Linked DNA regions of Daphnia pulex. The protein of the gene in region 1 binds, or shares a complex with, the protein of each later gene. Links are inferred from orthologs where the notes say so. Each region holds a gene or a part of one and is shown on either strand. Other genes may lie near its edges.

Evidence for each region.
Region 2: DNA replication complex GINS protein PSF3-like (region 1) and zygotic DNA replication licensing factor mcm6-B-like share a complex: the UniProt entries of both Homo sapiens proteins name them as parts of the CMG helicase complex. The link is inferred for Daphnia pulex from reciprocal best matches to the Homo sapiens genes GINS3 and MCM6.

What each region holds. Positions count from the first base shown.
Region 1 is NC_060022.1:869,670-877,590, reverse strand, and holds DNA replication complex GINS protein PSF3-like, read right to left. Parts: upstream 3,772-7,921; 5' UTR 3,749-3,771; coding exon 3,640-3,748; intron 3,535-3,639; coding exon 3,396-3,534; intron 3,329-3,395; coding exon 3,199-3,328; intron 3,136-3,198; coding exon 2,995-3,135; intron 2,927-2,994; coding exon 2,837-2,926; 3' UTR 2,569-2,836; downstream 1-2,568. Other genes in the region: hepatocyte nuclear factor 4-gamma-like, read left to right, coding at 149-518, 581-675, 748-863, 1,207-1,377, 1,443-1,572, 1,637-1,756, 1,831-2,067, 2,152-2,489; serine/threonine-protein phosphatase 4 regulatory subunit 1-like, read right to left, coding at 5,715-5,881, 5,974-6,262, 6,345-7,921. UniProt on the Homo sapiens protein: Required for correct functioning of the GINS complex, a complex that plays an essential role in the initiation of DNA replication, and progression of DNA replication forks.
Region 2 is NC_060017.1:7,924,645-7,933,539, forward strand, and holds zygotic DNA replication licensing factor mcm6-B-like, read left to right. Parts: upstream 1-3,514; 5' UTR 3,515-3,618; coding exon 3,619-3,710; intron 3,711-3,783; coding exon 3,784-3,927; intron 3,928-3,993; coding exon 3,994-4,258; intron 4,259-4,316; coding exon 4,317-4,465; intron 4,466-4,522; coding exon 4,523-4,778; intron 4,779-4,839; coding exon 4,840-5,136; intron 5,137-5,201; coding exon 5,202-6,183; intron 6,184-6,252; coding exon 6,253-6,383; intron 6,384-6,445; coding exon 6,446-6,553; 3' UTR 6,554-6,603; downstream 6,604-8,895. Other genes in the region: glycine-rich cell wall structural protein 1.8-like, read right to left, coding at 21-32; urea transporter 2-like, read right to left, coding at 7,300-7,479, 7,622-7,806, 7,865-8,012, 8,101-8,326, 8,401-8,430, 8,532-8,662, 8,788-8,895. UniProt on the Homo sapiens protein: Acts as a component of the MCM2-7 complex (MCM complex) which is the replicative helicase essential for 'once per cell cycle' DNA replication initiation and elongation in eukaryotic cells.

The sequences.
Region 1 (7,921 bases):
GCGCAATCGGCCATCACTCGTTGTTGGCTTCGTCAGCATGCTACCGCACGTTTGGTTGCCTGAAAAATTCCTCCGTCTGATACATTATTCCGTCTCCCTTTCGTTGGCATTCGTATTCTCAATCATGAACGGTTTTACGCCGGCGTAGAGACGCTACAATTGCTACGTATGCGCTACGATGGGGAGGATCCGTTGGATTTTGATGATAACCCGATCGATGGTGGTCGTGTCATGTTTCCAGTGACGGATGCCAGCTCGCTACAGTTGTCGGTGACGGCATCCGGCTCCTTGATTCCGGCACCAGCGTCAAGCGTCAACAGCGTCGGGTCCAGTTCACCGACCGGTAGCAACGGCAACGTGACCGGCGGCATCGGCGGCAGCGCTGTCGCCGCCGTCGCCACCTGGTGCGCCATTTGCGGAGACAGGGCCACCGGCAAGCATTACGGAGCCGCTTCTTGTGACGGATGCAAAGGATTCTTCCGCCGATCAGTCAGGAAAAATCACGTCTACACTTGCCGGTATCTAATCATTAATAATTACAAATTTTTAAAAGCATTTCAAAACTTTCTTCATCCAATAGGTTCAATCGTCATTGCGTGGTAGACAAAGATAAACGGAATCAATGCCGCTATTGCCGGCTTGGCAAATGCTTCAAAGCTGGCATGAAGAAAGAAGGTATAACTGGCTAGAAAAATAAAAAAGTGTCAAATAACATTCAATATACAATCGTTTTGTGTGTCACAACAGCCGTTCAAAACGAACGAGATCGAATCAGCAGTCGTCGACCGAGTTACGAAGAACCGGTTTCTGCCAATGGGTTGACCATAAGTGTTCTCATCAATGCCGAAACCATGAGCCGACAGGTAAAAATTTGGTTACTTGATTTCTATTCGTCAAACCCCTTAAATCTGAATTATAACCTTATAAAAATTCCCAACTCTTTGTTGGGAATCGCTTGCTTGTCAATTGTCCGTTTGTCGCCCATTTCCTTCTATCGCATCTTTAACTGACCTACAACCGCCTCATAATTTCACTAACAGTTTGCTCAAGTTTGATCAATTTTTTTTCTTCTCGTTTCTATCTTTTTTCTCTCACACACACACACACTACTATCATTCACTCTCTTGCGAAAAATAAAAAAAATCTGTGCGAATGTGCTGCGATTTTTTTCCTTGTCCCTCTCCCGATCAACTCTTTCCTTTCTAGTGTGAAAATTTGTATTTAAATCAGCTCTCAGCCGTCAACGATTACGATTTGAACAGCAAACGGATGGCTACCATCAACGACGTTTGCGAATCAATGAAACAGCAGTTGCTCTTCTTGGTCGAATGGGCCAAATACATCCCCGTTTTCAGCGAATTGCCACTGGATGATCAGGTAGACACATTTTAAAAAAAATTTCGTTTTTAGCCAATTTGATGATGTCGAATTCGAATTTCAAGGTGGCGTTATTGAGGGCCCACGCGGCAGAAAACCTCGTTTTGGGAGTTGCTCGAAGATCTATGCATTTAAGAGACATTCTTCTACTGGGCAACGATTCCATCATGCCCAGACAATCGGCTGGACTTGGAGGTTAACACTAGCTGCCTTATTGCCAAAAGATGTTGTTAATGATTCCTATTTGGCAAACATGCAGAGATCGAGATTTACCATATTGGCATTCGAATAATGGACGAGATTGTGAAACCTCTACGAGATATTCAAATGGATGATACGGAGTACACCTGCCTCAAGGCCATCGTCTTCTTCGATCCTAGTAATAAAAAAACGTCGATTGCCAACTTACTATTTGAATCTTGAGTCTGACGTGAGCCTTTGGGATGGCACCAGATGCAAAAGGTCTGGGAGAGCCGGCCAGGGTAAAAGGGATTCGCTACCAGATTCAACAGTTGCTGGAAGACTACGTGGCCGATCGACAGTACGCAAGTCGAGGTCGGTTCGGCGAGTTGCTGCTGGCCTTGCCGCCACTCCAGTCAGTTGCTTGGCAAATGATTGAGCAGATCCAGCAAGCCAGATACTTTGGAGTGACCCGCATCGATTCTCTGCTACAGGAAATGCTTCTAGGAGGTATTAATAGAATTTGAAAAAAAAAAACAGTTATTTGAATTGGTTAACGATCGATTAAACACACAATCTTACCAACATTTGAAGGAGCTTCACTTGAATCGGTTGGTAATGCAAACAATTCTGCCCCTTCGTCCGGGTACAATCCGCCCGTTGTGGTCCCATCTGCACTGACCGCAATGGCTCCACTTTCAGCAGATTCGTCTCCCACACACTCAACGGGTCCATCTCTTACAACTCTTCCTCTCCTGAATGGGCAAAACGGATTAGGTGGGCATCAGTCCATGATGATGGACCGTGGACCACCGCTGACCATGTCTCCAGACTCTGAGGATGACGCCTTTCCCTTGGGAGGATTGTCCAATCACCACCACCAGCCTTTCAAACAAGAGGTGACGGAAGGAATGGACAATGCGTACACATAGATACTTGACCGTTCCCGAATTTTACAAAAAGAAAGAAAAATGATAAAAAAAGAGAAAAAAAGGGTTTTGTTTTGTTAAGTTAAAGTTTTAAGAGATAATCTATTCGATTTGAGAATTGCGCGGCAAATATTTTCCAAAGATGAGTAGCACAATTACTATAACAGGGACTCAACATATCCATCGTGTTGCTACCATCAGGGGTTTTTTTTCCATTCAAATGTGCGTCATTTCTATTAAAAACAAACGAGTTAATTGCTTCTGATTGACTGTGTCGAACTTCATAGTTGCTCAATATAATTGTTAATTAGATAGGGGCCAAATACATCTGACAAACTGGTAATTGAATCTTAAACAGTCACTTCTGCAAATTTTCTCTTTCTGTGACTGGCTACTAGAGTAGCTGTGTTGATCTTGCTGGATTCTCTTCGGACCCATTCCTATTGAAGCAAAAGTGATTACAAAAACAATAGAGAAATGATGCATCAAAATCTATATTAATGAATACCTTGTAGCTTCTGTAACTCAACTGACCCACTCCAAACAACTTTCTTTCTAATTCATCCAAGTTTGCAATTATGTGTACTGTTTCGTGGTGTGTGGAATGTTGAGACATGTCCATAATTTGTCTCAAACGGTTACGAAGGGTCTGCACACAAAAATTTGTAGTAGTTAGAGAAAGTTATATGCAAACAGAATTTGGGTAATCAACCTCAACCAGGCTCCTCTTGATATCAAGAGAATCCTTTAATTCAAGATTTGCCACATGAAGTCCCAGATCATAGAAATAGGGTCCCCATTTGTGGAGGTCAACAACTATACTGTCTGCCTGGAGGATCTGTCTATAGAATTTGGAAGTGAAATTGGATTTAATCCAGAAAACGAAACTTTGTCAAGATATTTAACTACCTGTAATTGACTTTGTAGTGCCTTGGAATTTCAAGTGTTACAATTTTTTTGGCATGAAGGGTGGGTACCATCCAGAACGGCAATTCTACTTTGCTTCCTTGTTTGAGGTTTTCATCGTCAGCCGACTGATCAAGCATACCTGAATTGGAAGAAAAGGAGATATAACTTTGTAATCAGCTTAATTACATGATTAACTATTTAAAAACCAATAAACTTAAAATCTAATAAACAAGCTATTGTTTACCTAACTTGGGAACAGCCACTTCGAATTTGCAAGACACCCTGACATCTTGAAGCACAATGTCTTCTATAGAAAAATAGTTTGGACTATAGCTAAAATGCAAGTGAGGCATTATAAAAGTCGTCAAGAGTTGATTACAAGTCAAAATTAGAATGAAAAGAAAATTGTAAAGACAAGATTAGAATTCAATGTTGTTTGATCGTCACAACGAGATGTCAGCAGTCGTTTTCCCGCTCTGCACCGCGTTGCCACATCATCCACAGTCAACATTTTCTTTTTTCTTTTGGGAAGACGCCCAAAATGGTCGACTCTATGCCACAAATTGCTTGACGGTTTTGGTTAAAGTTATTTCCCCCGAAAAACCTCATCGTAAAAAAGGGTCTACGTGTGACGGCGAGCTGAGTCACGCGTTCAGCCGTTCACCTGGCTCGTAATTACTTGAGAGAAATGATGTATTTGCGAGTTATTGCGCCAAGGATTCCGAGACAGGTAATCTCTTGTCGAAAACTAGGAGCCGCCATATTTTCGAGCTTCGACTTGTCCAACAAACAGAAGCAGCTTGTGCTTGTGCTGTCTGTTAGCCGAGCCAAGTGATTGCGTCGTCGGAAGACAGAAATAAACCTGGAGCCCTTCCCTTGGGTTTCCTCCACCGCGCCAGCAGCAGCAGCAGCAGAGTCAACTCTGCTCGAATAGAAATATCGTCTCGAAAAGATATTTCGGCCAATCGTCGCTCCCTTGACGTGATTGGTACGCAGACACCCACTCTCGATTCGTTTCTTCTTCTCCGGAACTATTCCCGCTATTATCTCTATTCACTTTGATATTTAATTTACATAAACTCGCGAGTTCATTTTTCACACAATTTGGTGTGATTGAATGAATTCTATTAGCTATTCATTCCGTGATGGTGTCGGAGGTTTTTCTTTTTTTCTGACTTGCTTAATGGGCGTAAAACCGTGAGAAACCCCATGGAAAAGTTCTTTTTCAATTCAAGTACAACCGGAAGAAGCTATGGAATCGTCTTTCCGTTTAAAAAATAAATAAATGGAGAAAAAACCACAAAATTTGTCTCATGTTTTTTTACTTTTCCTTAAAAAAAAAAAATAACTTTTTTTTTCCCTTAAAGTCTGTCGTCATCAGTGCGCGTCTTGACGATCAGCTAAGGAAAATCTATTTTCAAAGCTGTTGGCTCTGTTTCTTTAAAAAAAAAGGGGCGAGGGGAGAGAGCAATGGTAAAAAAGAAAATGGTTGCAGCTTTTTTTATTTGATAAATATAGAACCGTTTCTCTTGTTACACGAGTAAACAACGAGCTCCCCCACCCACACAAGACGGGGGCCACTCCTTGTTTTTTAATCTTTTTCGACTCGCGTGTGTACCTCATTAAGATGTTTGCACTTTTGTTTTATCGATGGCTTCATTAAACCAAGCGAGCACATTTTTTCCATTATTTCGGGAGCCAAATGATATTGGGGCCAGAAGAAGAAGAAGAACGACAAGAACGCGGTTGCACGTAGGCAAAAATTATTTTGATGTATTTTTTTTTCCGTCTACCAATCAGGTTAGGTGGCGGTCACCACCACATCACAGTAAGGGCATAGCGGACAACAACTTGTACAACAATCCCTCCTCCCCCCATCTCTCTACACGATTTTTTACTTGCAAAAGAAAAAAGGAAAAACTTTTTTATTTTTTAAAAAAAGGAGGGAAACATGAATGAATTGATTTTTGTTTGAATTTCATTTGTTTTTAAATCGGGGCGTTCGTCTCCCGCACCAATTGCGTGATTTACTTACACAACACACAGGTAATCGTCTTGTTTGTACAAGGCACCACACAGCAACACTCATCCGCGCCAAGACTTTTTATAGGGGGGAACTCCCTTGTGTTAGTGGGGGGGCTGATTATTTAAAAAACGAAAGAGATCAAAGATGATAAGAGAAGAGGTGAGGAGGAAAAAAGGATGGAAGGGAGGAGTCGACAAGTTTTGTTTTTCGTTGTGTTGGCATCATGCAAAAAGAATCAAATGTGTGTGAATGTGTACAGTTTTTTTGTGTTTGTATTCTTTGAATTGGGGCTATCACGCAATGTTGTTGTCCTCCGTCGGAAGATCCAATGAATTGATTTGCGTCTGATTCCGTTTGACTGTGGCGTAGTACGAAACGTCACGATCCTCATCGGCCGACAGTTGATTGAGCGTCTCGTCCAGCGATTCCCGGTACGGACTGTCTGATCCAGCGAAAAACTCTGTTGGTAATTCAAGACAAACACATTGTAGTACCACACACCAAGTGTTGAAAACAAAAAAAAAAAACAATTGAAAGACAAATAATACTAACCGTGATATTTGAGCTGGAAATTGATGACTCTGGCCAAGACGAGCCGGACGTTGGGCACGCGGTCTTGTTTGAGCGCCAGCAAAGGTGCCAGAAGAAGTTTACCAAACTCTTCCAGCGGCAAAGCGCGGTCCGTCACCAGCTGGTTGCAGATGTTGACGTAGCTCTGTCGGAGCATCCAGCGATTGCCGGAGCAGAAACGGGTCGTTAGGTCGGCAAGAAGAGGAGTGAGCATCGATTCGGCATCGTCGGCCCAGCTGTTTTCCGACACCTGCTTCATTATTTGACTAACCTGAAAGGAAGAACAAAGTTTAAAAAAATGTGTGTCTATCGTGTTGCTGCTATGGCCGGATGGATGGAAGCAAAATACTTACGAGTGTGAAGGCAGGGAGACGGACGGCGGCTACGCGATCCGACGCCAGAGTCAAGGCTAGTGGCAAGATGGATTGAGCGCTGTCGGCGGGCGAAAAGAGAGCCACTACCGACTGCAGTTGCAGGGCCAACTCTTGACGGAAGCGCCAATTCTGTTCGTTATCCAGCTTGAGGAACTCGGCCAAGCGAGGCAGATAACTCCGGCGCTCCTTCTCGGCCAGCAAGCCAAGGAAATCGCTCAAGTGCTTCAAAACGCCGACGCGCACCTCGTCCAGGTCTTTGATGAAACCATCAAAGACGGGCAACAAGTCCTGCGTCACCACCTCTTGGCCTAAAATGGCGCCAATCTCGTGGATGCTCGACGCCAGAGTCCTGCGCACCTTCCACTGCATGTCCGAGGCCAGCGTCGTGTAGAGATCGCGCAGCAGCGGCCAGTGCTCCTTGCCCAGCGTGCAGACGACGGCCGGCAAGCTGTAGGCGCAATGGCGAGTGATCTCGGCGTCGACCGTCTCCACGTAATAAGGGTCCGTCATCTGCAGGTAATAGTCCATCAGATTTTGCGGTACAACCGATTGACTGAGGGTGATGGACGAGCGCTTGGAAGACGAGCCGTAGGGACTGTAGGGTCGTGAGCGGCCGGCCTCGATGATGCCACCGCCGCTCATGCTGCCTCCGTCTGAACGCCGTCGCGGTGAATAATAGGGGCAAAATGAATTTGAATAGACGGTGGTGGTGGACAAGTCGTTGCTGCTGCTGTTGGCACTGGTCGTCGTGGTGGCGTTACTCTTGACGTAGGCGGGTGGTAAAAGAAGATTGGGTTGAAACAGAGACGAAGCCGACGACATGACGGTCGCCAAAGAGGTAGTGACACTAGACGAGAGTAACGTCGGCTGGACCGAACCGTCGGCGGCCGTCGGTTTAGACTCGGCCGACAAATCGTTGGTTCCCTCATCGGCGGCGGTATTGGGTGGTGAGCTAACGATGTTACCACTGCTGGCAGCCACCGGAGCTCCTAATAATTCCTGACAGGCTACTCTCCTCAAGTCAAAGGCGTGAACTGGCTCGGGAACCAGTTCACCGGATGCTGGTTGAGTTGTTGCAGCGGCAGCGGCTTCAATAGTTGTTGCTGTTGTTCCACCGCCCAACTCGACACGAGCCATCAAATCCTCTAGTGCCTTTTCGACGCTATCCGAGACCGACTCTTCGTTGTTTGCTGCCTCGGATGAGACAAGAGGCTGCGACGGATCGCCTTGGTTGTTGGTGGTTGGAGGCATCAAATTCAATTGCGGTAGAGGGTCTCTCCAGAAATAAAAAGAATTAAAATCCGATTCGACCGGCTCGGCTTCGGCTGTTTCGGCCGTGGCCGACGACGACAGTGAAGTCGAAGTCGATTCGCGTTCCGTTTCCATCCGTGAAAAGGTGGAAATAAAAGGACCCAGGGCCTGGAAGGCGGCCATTCGAACCCAACGCGACTCGTCTTGAAGGAGGTTGACAAAGAGACTGCCCAGGTCGTTGCGTCTCTTGCTGGCCGAGACGACGCGCGATAGGCTCATGAAGACTTCGGCGCAGGCTTTGCGAA
Region 2 (8,895 bases), on another chromosome or scaffold:
AGAATTATTTGGGATTTTACCACAATTTTCATGACTGTGCTGATTGTTAGAAGTTGAACTTGCTGAGGAGCTGAAGCGATTGGTGCCGATGGAAGGTTTGTCCGTGTCTTTTATACAGATTCATCTTCACGGCTACAGCATGGCGTTCAGTTATATAAGTTAAAATAATACCGCATTACCTTGAAAGCAGACGCTGCTGTTGGATGAAAATTGGCGGAATTCCCCAAGTGCTCGAGGTCTCTCCCTGAGCTAGCCCACAACGCAATACAACTTGACGATGATTATTTGATTTTTGCTGTAGTAATTTTGTACAAAGGGCGTTTGCTTTTTCAGAAGGCTATATTTCAATGGACGCTTTGTTAGATAGCATCATCATAATCTAGCCTACGATATCACTTCAGTCGATCATTTCATTTGATTCTTTTTTTCTGTTGTGACATTTATTTTTTAAAAAGATCAATTTATCAAGGTAGCTACATTTCAAGGTCCAATTCCTGAGGGTGATTTTCTTAATTTTGAGTTTTCTCAATTACGAAGGCATCAGCAAAAGGCTTATAATATGTTCGTCACATCATCAATCCATATCACTTAAAAATGATATCGTAAATAAGGATGGCATGTGAAAAGAAGAAAAATGAATCATCTTCTACATTGAAAATTGCCGAACCGCAATGTCGTTCCGTTCCGGTCGCGGATGCGTTGCCACAACGCAGCCATAAGCAGCGTGCAAGCAGCCCTGTGGATAAAATTGTTCCTCCTTTGTTCGTCATTTTTTTTTCCCCTACTGCTTTATCTGGATGGCTGTGCTTGGTCGGAACGACTTGTATACACCAATGAACCGTTTACTTTCCTCGGGAAAACCCTAACAATAGTCAGCCAGCCCAAGGCAATGCTGATGATCGCCATGGCCAGCAGCGTTTGAAGTGAACGACAAATTGCATGCACAAGTTTCTCACCTTTGTTATTCTTCAAACGTGATGGCGCATTTGACCACAAGTACCAGTAATAACTGCTTTAATCCTGATGTGTATTGCAACGTCATGGTCAAACTCTGCTAAATAAGAACAAGTTTAAATACCATCAATGCCACACAGTTTTCACAAAAGAGAGAGATTGCAAAGCAAAACAGTGCATTAATGGCAATCAGATTCAATTCACTTTTATTTTTAGTTTAGCAAATCGATAAGAGAAGCTTTTACACCGCAAACATCTTATACTGTTTCGTGAATCTTTTTCGGTACTTTTCTCACGGTCCGCCAACTCGTCCGCCAAACGGCGACTTTAACGACCGTCTCCCTTTCGTCACCAGCAGCGCTAGTGCCGCTTAATAATGCAGTCTGATGAGATAATAACTTGAGTTTATGTTTGGTTTATTAAACAATTAATTTGGAAACGAGTAGAAATTCGAGTCAAGTACATCTCATTTAATCTACCTCGTTACTTTCAACAATTTTGTATCCGTCCTTCATGTATAACCTAAATTGCGTTGCACTAGTTAATATTTAAACTGACTCAAATTAGTCCTTCAAAACCACATTAGAGGACAGCTAAAATAATTCCCCCTTTTTGAATACGACTCCGGTTTTTCTGCTCTAAACTGGTTTAAAGAACGTTGGTGGTCTTTACACCACCGAAAACTGGTTTAAACATCCGGGTGTTAATTTTGGATATCAATTTGGTTAGTGACATTCATGAATTTATTCACAATCGTCGGACGGAATAACAAAAATATACTTTTGATTTTAGAAAAAGAGATAAGGCGACCGAAATCAGTCGCCTTGTCGTTGGGTGTTGTGTAAAACGTTACGAAAGAAAACAATAACAAATTTTATTTTTATTTTTATTTATTGAAATTTAAACCTGTAATGCGACAGTACATACAGATGGCGATGAATTTTAGTTTCTGAAATGTGTCTTGATTTAAACTGGCGGTTTGTAAGGCCGGACACAATCTATGGCGAATACCAACGGTAAGAAAGGCGGAATGCCTGGACCTTGAGGATGTTCGATGCCAAATTCCAATTTGCTGCTGCTGGGAGAGATGAATGTCGTGTCAAGGATCGGATCGCCCGGGAAATATTCGGCCATAGAATTGAGCGATGGCAAAGACACGAATGGAACGGAACGAATCCAATTATCCGACTGCAGCTCATCCGAATTATTAAGCGAAAAGATCCAGTTCGCACGCATCGGCTTTCCGTTGACATAATGTTTGAAAACCATTGAACGGCCGTTTAACTTCCGTGTTCCATAGTTGAGCATGAGAGCTCTTCGAGCGTCATCTGGTTGGCGGAAAGTGATCTTGGCTTTTCCGTTTAAGAATCCCTTGTCATCAAGACACATACCAACAGACTGAACCGGACCAACCCACTCTTCAAAGTAGTCCAATATTTGTTTCCCGGTGGTCGAGTATTGCAAGTTCGAAACAAACAAATATTCCTCGCGTACGCTGATGTCAGACTGCGGGGATTCGTGGCATAGTGGGATAGAATCCTGTGTTACTTCCGGTTCTTGTGACTGGTGGAATTGGCCATTATTCTGAAAATCTTGGTAGATGACGTAATCAGTTAAAGGTGTGTACGAACGATTCTCCAGTGAAGTTGGCTTGGAAGTTGGCAACAGGGTTGAATAAACTGGGCCAGGGATTACGATTTGATCCTTATACACACGTTTCTGGTTCACGAAGAGTTTGATATTCATTCGACGACCGCCCAACTTTGTTCCGTCGTAGAAGAGGGCTTTCCGGGCATGATCTGGCTGGTGGAAATATATTGCGGCTTTGCACATATAGTGGCCATCTGCGTTATGGTGCTTTGTAAGACAATCGACCGGTCCGACGTATTTTTCGAAAAAGTTGACAATTTCTTGCTCGGAAGTCTCACGAGCCAAATTGGTGATCCACACCATTTCGACATCTTTCACTGCTTCAATCGATTCCTGAAGAACAATTTCCTTTTGGTTTGTCATTTTCAAATCGTCGTATGTTTGACTTTTTGAGAAAACACTCTAAACTGAGCATGGTCATTGTAAGTCATGGTGTGAACTTATATGGGCACCGGGATCCGGAAAAACATCTGCAACTACCTGGCGAGATTTATTTTCTGATTTATAAATTGAACGCATTAGTTAACGAAAATGATTTCCGTCTATTTACAATTTTGAAGTTATTACCCATATTATTCATTCAAATGAAATACAAATTTTCCCTTAAATAAGAATAATAAACCAAATATAATGATCGAAAATTGATAATCAGTCAGAGGATCAGTAAACAATCCGCCAGGTAATTATTATTAGGTATGTCGGTATCCACTAATTTGGCCTGCAGGCCTGGCAAGAGACAAATATACACAATAAAAAAATTTGGTTAGTTCAATACATTTTTCTGTAAACATTTTATTATTTTTAAAACATTTTTAAAAAGTCGAAAACTCGGAAAATCACATTTGAATTTCAGATTTTCTTTGTTTTTTTTCTTTGTGCCTGACAACGTCGCAATCTTTCTCATTGCCATTTTCGCGCCAGAATTTCGTTGTCTGCTCATTCTGCGTGTTTGTTCTTGCACGAAAAGTGGTGATCAAAGTTTTATCCCTATTTTTCCTTTGATTATCTTAAACTATGGATGTTGCAGGTGCTCAACAAGTACAAAATAAACTCAAGGATGATGTTGCTCAAAGGTGTCAAAAATTGTTCTTGGATTTCCTTGAAGGGTAAGTGTACAAAGCTGTTCATGAATGATTGATACATGCTTAGCTGGGTGATGCAAAAACTTTCTTTCTCTAGTTTTGAAGTTGATGGTGAAGTAAAGTACTTGGAAAAGGCTAAAGAACTTGTAAAACCAGAAAGAAATACACTTCAAGTCAGCTTTCAGGATGTCGAGAAATATAACAGCAATTTGGCTGTCACAATCGTGGCTGAATATTACCGGTATTGTTCCTTACTATGACATTTCTGAACAACTTGAACATTAATTGATGTCTTTTATACATTTAGTGTTTACCCTTTCATTTGCCAAGCTGTTTATTCCTATGTGAGAGATAAGGCTGATTTCAATGTGGAGAAAGAACTGTACATCAGCTTTGTTGATGTCAGCTCAAAATACAAGGTCAGAGACTTGAAGACAGCTAGCATTGGCTCGCTCTTTCAGATATCTGGCCAAGTTATTCGTACCCATCCAGTTCATCCAGAATTGGTCAGCGCTACCTTTGTTTGCCTAGATTGTCAAACAGTCATTAAGGATGTAGAACAACAGTTCAAGGTAAGGTAGAAACACATTTATTTTTATTCAAATTTTTTTTAATGATTTTATTTTGCAGTACACACAACCTTCTATTTGCCGCAACCCTGTCTGCTTCAACAGAAGTCGATTCATGCTAAATGTTAACAAGTCCCGGTTCGTTGATTTTCAAAAAGTTCGAATTCAGGAAACGCAAGCAGAACTCCCTCGAGGATGTATTCCACGCAGGTAACTTCAAAGTGTTGAATTACTCATGACTAGTAAAGTGTACGCCAATCTGTTTAGTGTTGAGGTTATTCTACGAGCTGAAGCAGTGGAAACAGCGCAAGCTGGTGATAAGTGCGATTTCACTGGAACTCTTATCGTTGTCCCTGATGTCGGTTCTATCTCTGTACCTGGTGCTCGAGCGGAAAGTGGATCACGGAAAACTGGTGAAGGTCCGGAAACTGAAGGTGTCCGCGGACTGAAAAATTTGGGTGTCAGGGACCTAAACTACCGACTGGCTTTCTTAGCTTGCAGTGTTACCCAAAGCAACCCCATGGTAAGTCAAGTTTATCGATAAAAATGATATTTAAATGGTAACCCTGTTGGTTTATTATTAGTTTGGTGGTAAAGACTTGCATCAAGAGGAAATGACAGCAGTTGATATCAAAAATCAAATGTCAGAGCAAGATTGGAACCGTATCTACAATATGACACAGGACGTTAATTTGTACGACAATTTGATCAAAAGTCTGTTTGCCACCATTTACGGAAACGACGAAATCAAGCGAGGTATTCTACTAATGCTCTTTGGCGGTGTTCCCAAAAAAACCGTTGAGCATACTACGTTGCGTGGAGACACCAACGTCTGCATAGTTGGCGATCCCAGTACAGCAAAGTCGCAGTTTTTAAAGCAGGTAATTTCGGCAACAGTTTTCTTCCTCCTTACTTTTATTGTTATTATAATTTCTTTTACATCCAGGTCGCCGAATTTACCCCTCGTGCAGTTTACACTTCTGGTAAAGCATCCAGTGCAGCTGGTTTAACAGCTGCTGTGGTACGAGATGAAGAATCGTATGAATTCGTTATCGAAGCGGGAGCACTCATGTTAGCAGATAATGGTGTCTGTTGCATTGACGAGTTTGACAAGATGGATCCTCGCGATCAAGTTGCTATCCACGAAGCCATGGAACAGCAGACCATCTCCATCACCAAGGCCGGAGTCAAAGCAACACTTAACGCTCGAGCTTCAATCTTGGCTGCAGCCAATCCCATTGGAGGACGATACGACCGAACAAAATCCCTGAAACAGAACGTGATGATGACCGCGCCCATTATGTCTCGTTTTGATCTCTTTTTCATCTTAGTTGATGAGTGTAATGAAGTCGTCGACTATTCCATCGCCCGTAGCATCGTCGATCTTCACAGGAGAAACGTTGAATCGATTGAACGAGTGTACCAGACTGAGGATATCCGACGCTACATAACATTCGCCCGTAAATTCCAACCGAAGCTCAGTAAAGAAGCGGCTGACTATCTGGTTAACGCCTACCGCCAACTTCGTCAACGTGATGGTGGTTCAACCTCGTCAGCCTCAAGGATTACTGTTCGCCAATTGGAAAGCTTGATTCGTTTGTCAGAGGCGATGGCTCGCATGTATTGTCTGAGTCTGGTCACAAAAGACCATGTTAAAGAAGCTTATAGGCTCCTGAACAAATCCATCATCCGCGTTGAAGAGCCCGATATTGATTTGGAAGATGCTGAACAGCCAGATCTGTCGGTAGAGGAAGAAGAAACGAATGGCGTTCCTTCCAGTGAAGATGTTGACAAGCAAAAGGGAGCTAGTGGTGAGTCGGTTGATCCCACCGTGCAGAAGAAAAAGATATCCATCACCTTCGAGAGCTACAAAGCTATTTCAAACTTGCTCGTTATGTATTTACGACGCCAAGAGGCCTTGGATGAAAGTAAGCTCGCCATCTAAAACGCTTGTAACAAGATTATTTATTTAATAACAAATTCTTTTCTCGTTACAGCCGAAAGCTCGCGTAAAAGTGCGCTCATCAATTGGTATTTAAACGAAATTGCTGATGAGATTGAAACGGAACAAGAACTAACCGAGAGAAAACTTTTGGTTGAACGTGTCGTCAGTCGCCTTATATATCAGGTAATATTTATATTTTAATAATTACAAATAATTGGAATTAATAATTTCGTTTTTCTTTTCAGGACCAAGTTATCATTCCATTAAGTCGAACTGGATTAGCTGGTAAGGAAGAAGTAGCTGAAGATGAGGATCCTCTCCTTGTTGTGCACCCCAATTTTGTTCTTGAATAAGTACTCGCTCCTTTTCTTACTTTTCTTGCGCATACATGATATTTACTTAATCTCAGTGGTCATCCATCATTTACAAACTTAAAAGAAACAACAGATTTAAAGTTATAAATGGGGGATTTGTCAAAAAAATCTCTCAAATAGTTGTCATAATGCATCAATCATTAGTTGTTGGGTTCTTGCCACCAATTAAGTTATTACGATGTTTCTGACGAAAAATTTTGCTTGCGTTGAATTCTCAGATGCTCGGACTTTCTGTATCTTGACCAAAGCATATTTCGAATTTCATAAACATTGAAAAGTACCTGGGTAGAACAAACTTGGGTTGTATGATGGGAAAGAAGGATAAGGAAAACACTTCTAATATAGAATTTCTAGTATCGAACGTTGTTTAGGTGTGAAACTAGTATTAAAAACTTTTGAAATAAAGTCTGAAGTGGGTTATTTTCACTAATTCAATTTAAACGTAATTTTTCTGGTTAATTGACATCGCATCTGACATTTTTTTTTAATGGGAAGCTCAATTTCCTTAACTCGTCATGTGATAGTCATGTTTTTTGCTTTTTGTTATTCAACTTTTGACGGTAATTAGTATTCCGCTGTAGACGGCCAATCCTATTATCACTTAAATTGCGGGGCCGCTTGTGTTTTATCAATTACTCGAAAGTAGATTTCGACCAATTAATTTTATATCCTTGTTTATTTTTACGATGGTGCGTGTCGAGACTTTAAACTCAACTCTGGAATGTTTAAACATCACATGCTTCGATTTGAATAGCAGAAGCAGATCTTGTGAATCGCCTGCGTTGGTATTCAGGTGGCCTACCATCTGGAGCTTTGACTAATCTTTCACGTCCAGTCCCACTGCTCACAGCTAGAAACATCGAACTCGTAACGACAAAAGGAATTGTCAAAATCGGCAATCCAGCCTAAATATTATGACATTACATTATTATTATTAAGATTTTTATACTTAGGCTTATCATCAGACTCATGTGATTAATTTGCCCTTTGAAATTCCGACAAGACTAACACATAATGACTCAAACTTTGCAGTAGTTTTCCACGTACCGTTGCCAGAACAAGACCGAACGCGCGTTGAGCGGCTGCGGTGAAGACTACGGCCATGGCTGCGTTGAAAGCCGAGAGCATTGTCGGGACGTAAAATGTAACCGCAATAGCTCCTGCAGTCAGTGCAGAATTATAACCCCAGAGACCGGAATAGATTGCCGCGTAGTTTTCAGTAAGTCCAAGAGCTGAGTGATTCCCGAATTAATCAATTAACTAATTTAGGTAGGAGTCTATGCAACTTACCACAAACTGAAGCTAATAGAGAACCGCTGAAGAGAGCAATCGAAAGCATTGGCGAAAAAATTGTTATTCCAATGTACATGATGATTGAACAGACGACACTTTCGGCCGCGTAAACTTGGCCCATTGAAAGTAAGCTACCACGTAATACCTTTTGCATAAAAATTAATTCAGTGGGTTAGCGTGAGCTAAGCTTTATAATCTTAAATTATACTTTGAAATTCTTGTCGCTATCTTACCATTATCCAATCTAGCGAAACTGTCGAGTTTACTGGTAGTGTTTCATTAATAGAAGCAGCCAACTCGAGAGTTGTAGCATTATCTGCAGTAGCAAATGTTGCTAGATGCGTCAGACTCGAAGGCAAACATATAAACATAAGTAGATCAATGAGATTGAAGGGAACCGTCATCGGTGGGAGTGATACGCCTTTGCACAAATTGGCCATTCCAGATGTGACCAACGTACTACAAAACACACGACGCAAATAAAAAATAATTACTCCATTTTCATCATTCCAATAAGGAAGAATTAAACTGACCTCATAACTCCACCGAATCCTATTAAACACCTATGTTTGTTGCAATAACATTGCAATATTTAGCAATCAAGTTCTTCGTTGTTAAGCGAAAGAGATTTTTTAAATTTGATTTGTTTGTTTGTTATTTTTACCAAGAAAGGTAAGTAGGTCCATGAGTTGCTGCAACGATGGGTGGGCAAATGCTGGCCGTCACTGTTCCCACTAAAACACCGTTGTAGGTAACCAATCCATTACTGATTGAACTCCAAGGTTGGTTAAACACCTAAGTAAAAGTGATTCCACATCTTAGTTACTAATTAATTGAAGTTCGTATTTTTTCATGCTCTTATTTGCAATGGATATGTTTAGGCTAATAAGAAAGCGGAAGTAAGAGAATTCCAAGCTTACCGAGGCCGTGACCGTAGCTAAGGTAGCGGCTAAAAGTCCAGCAGCGCAGACCCAAATATCAGCCACCGCCAAGCCGATGATGACAAAAATTCCACTTATGGTATTGTT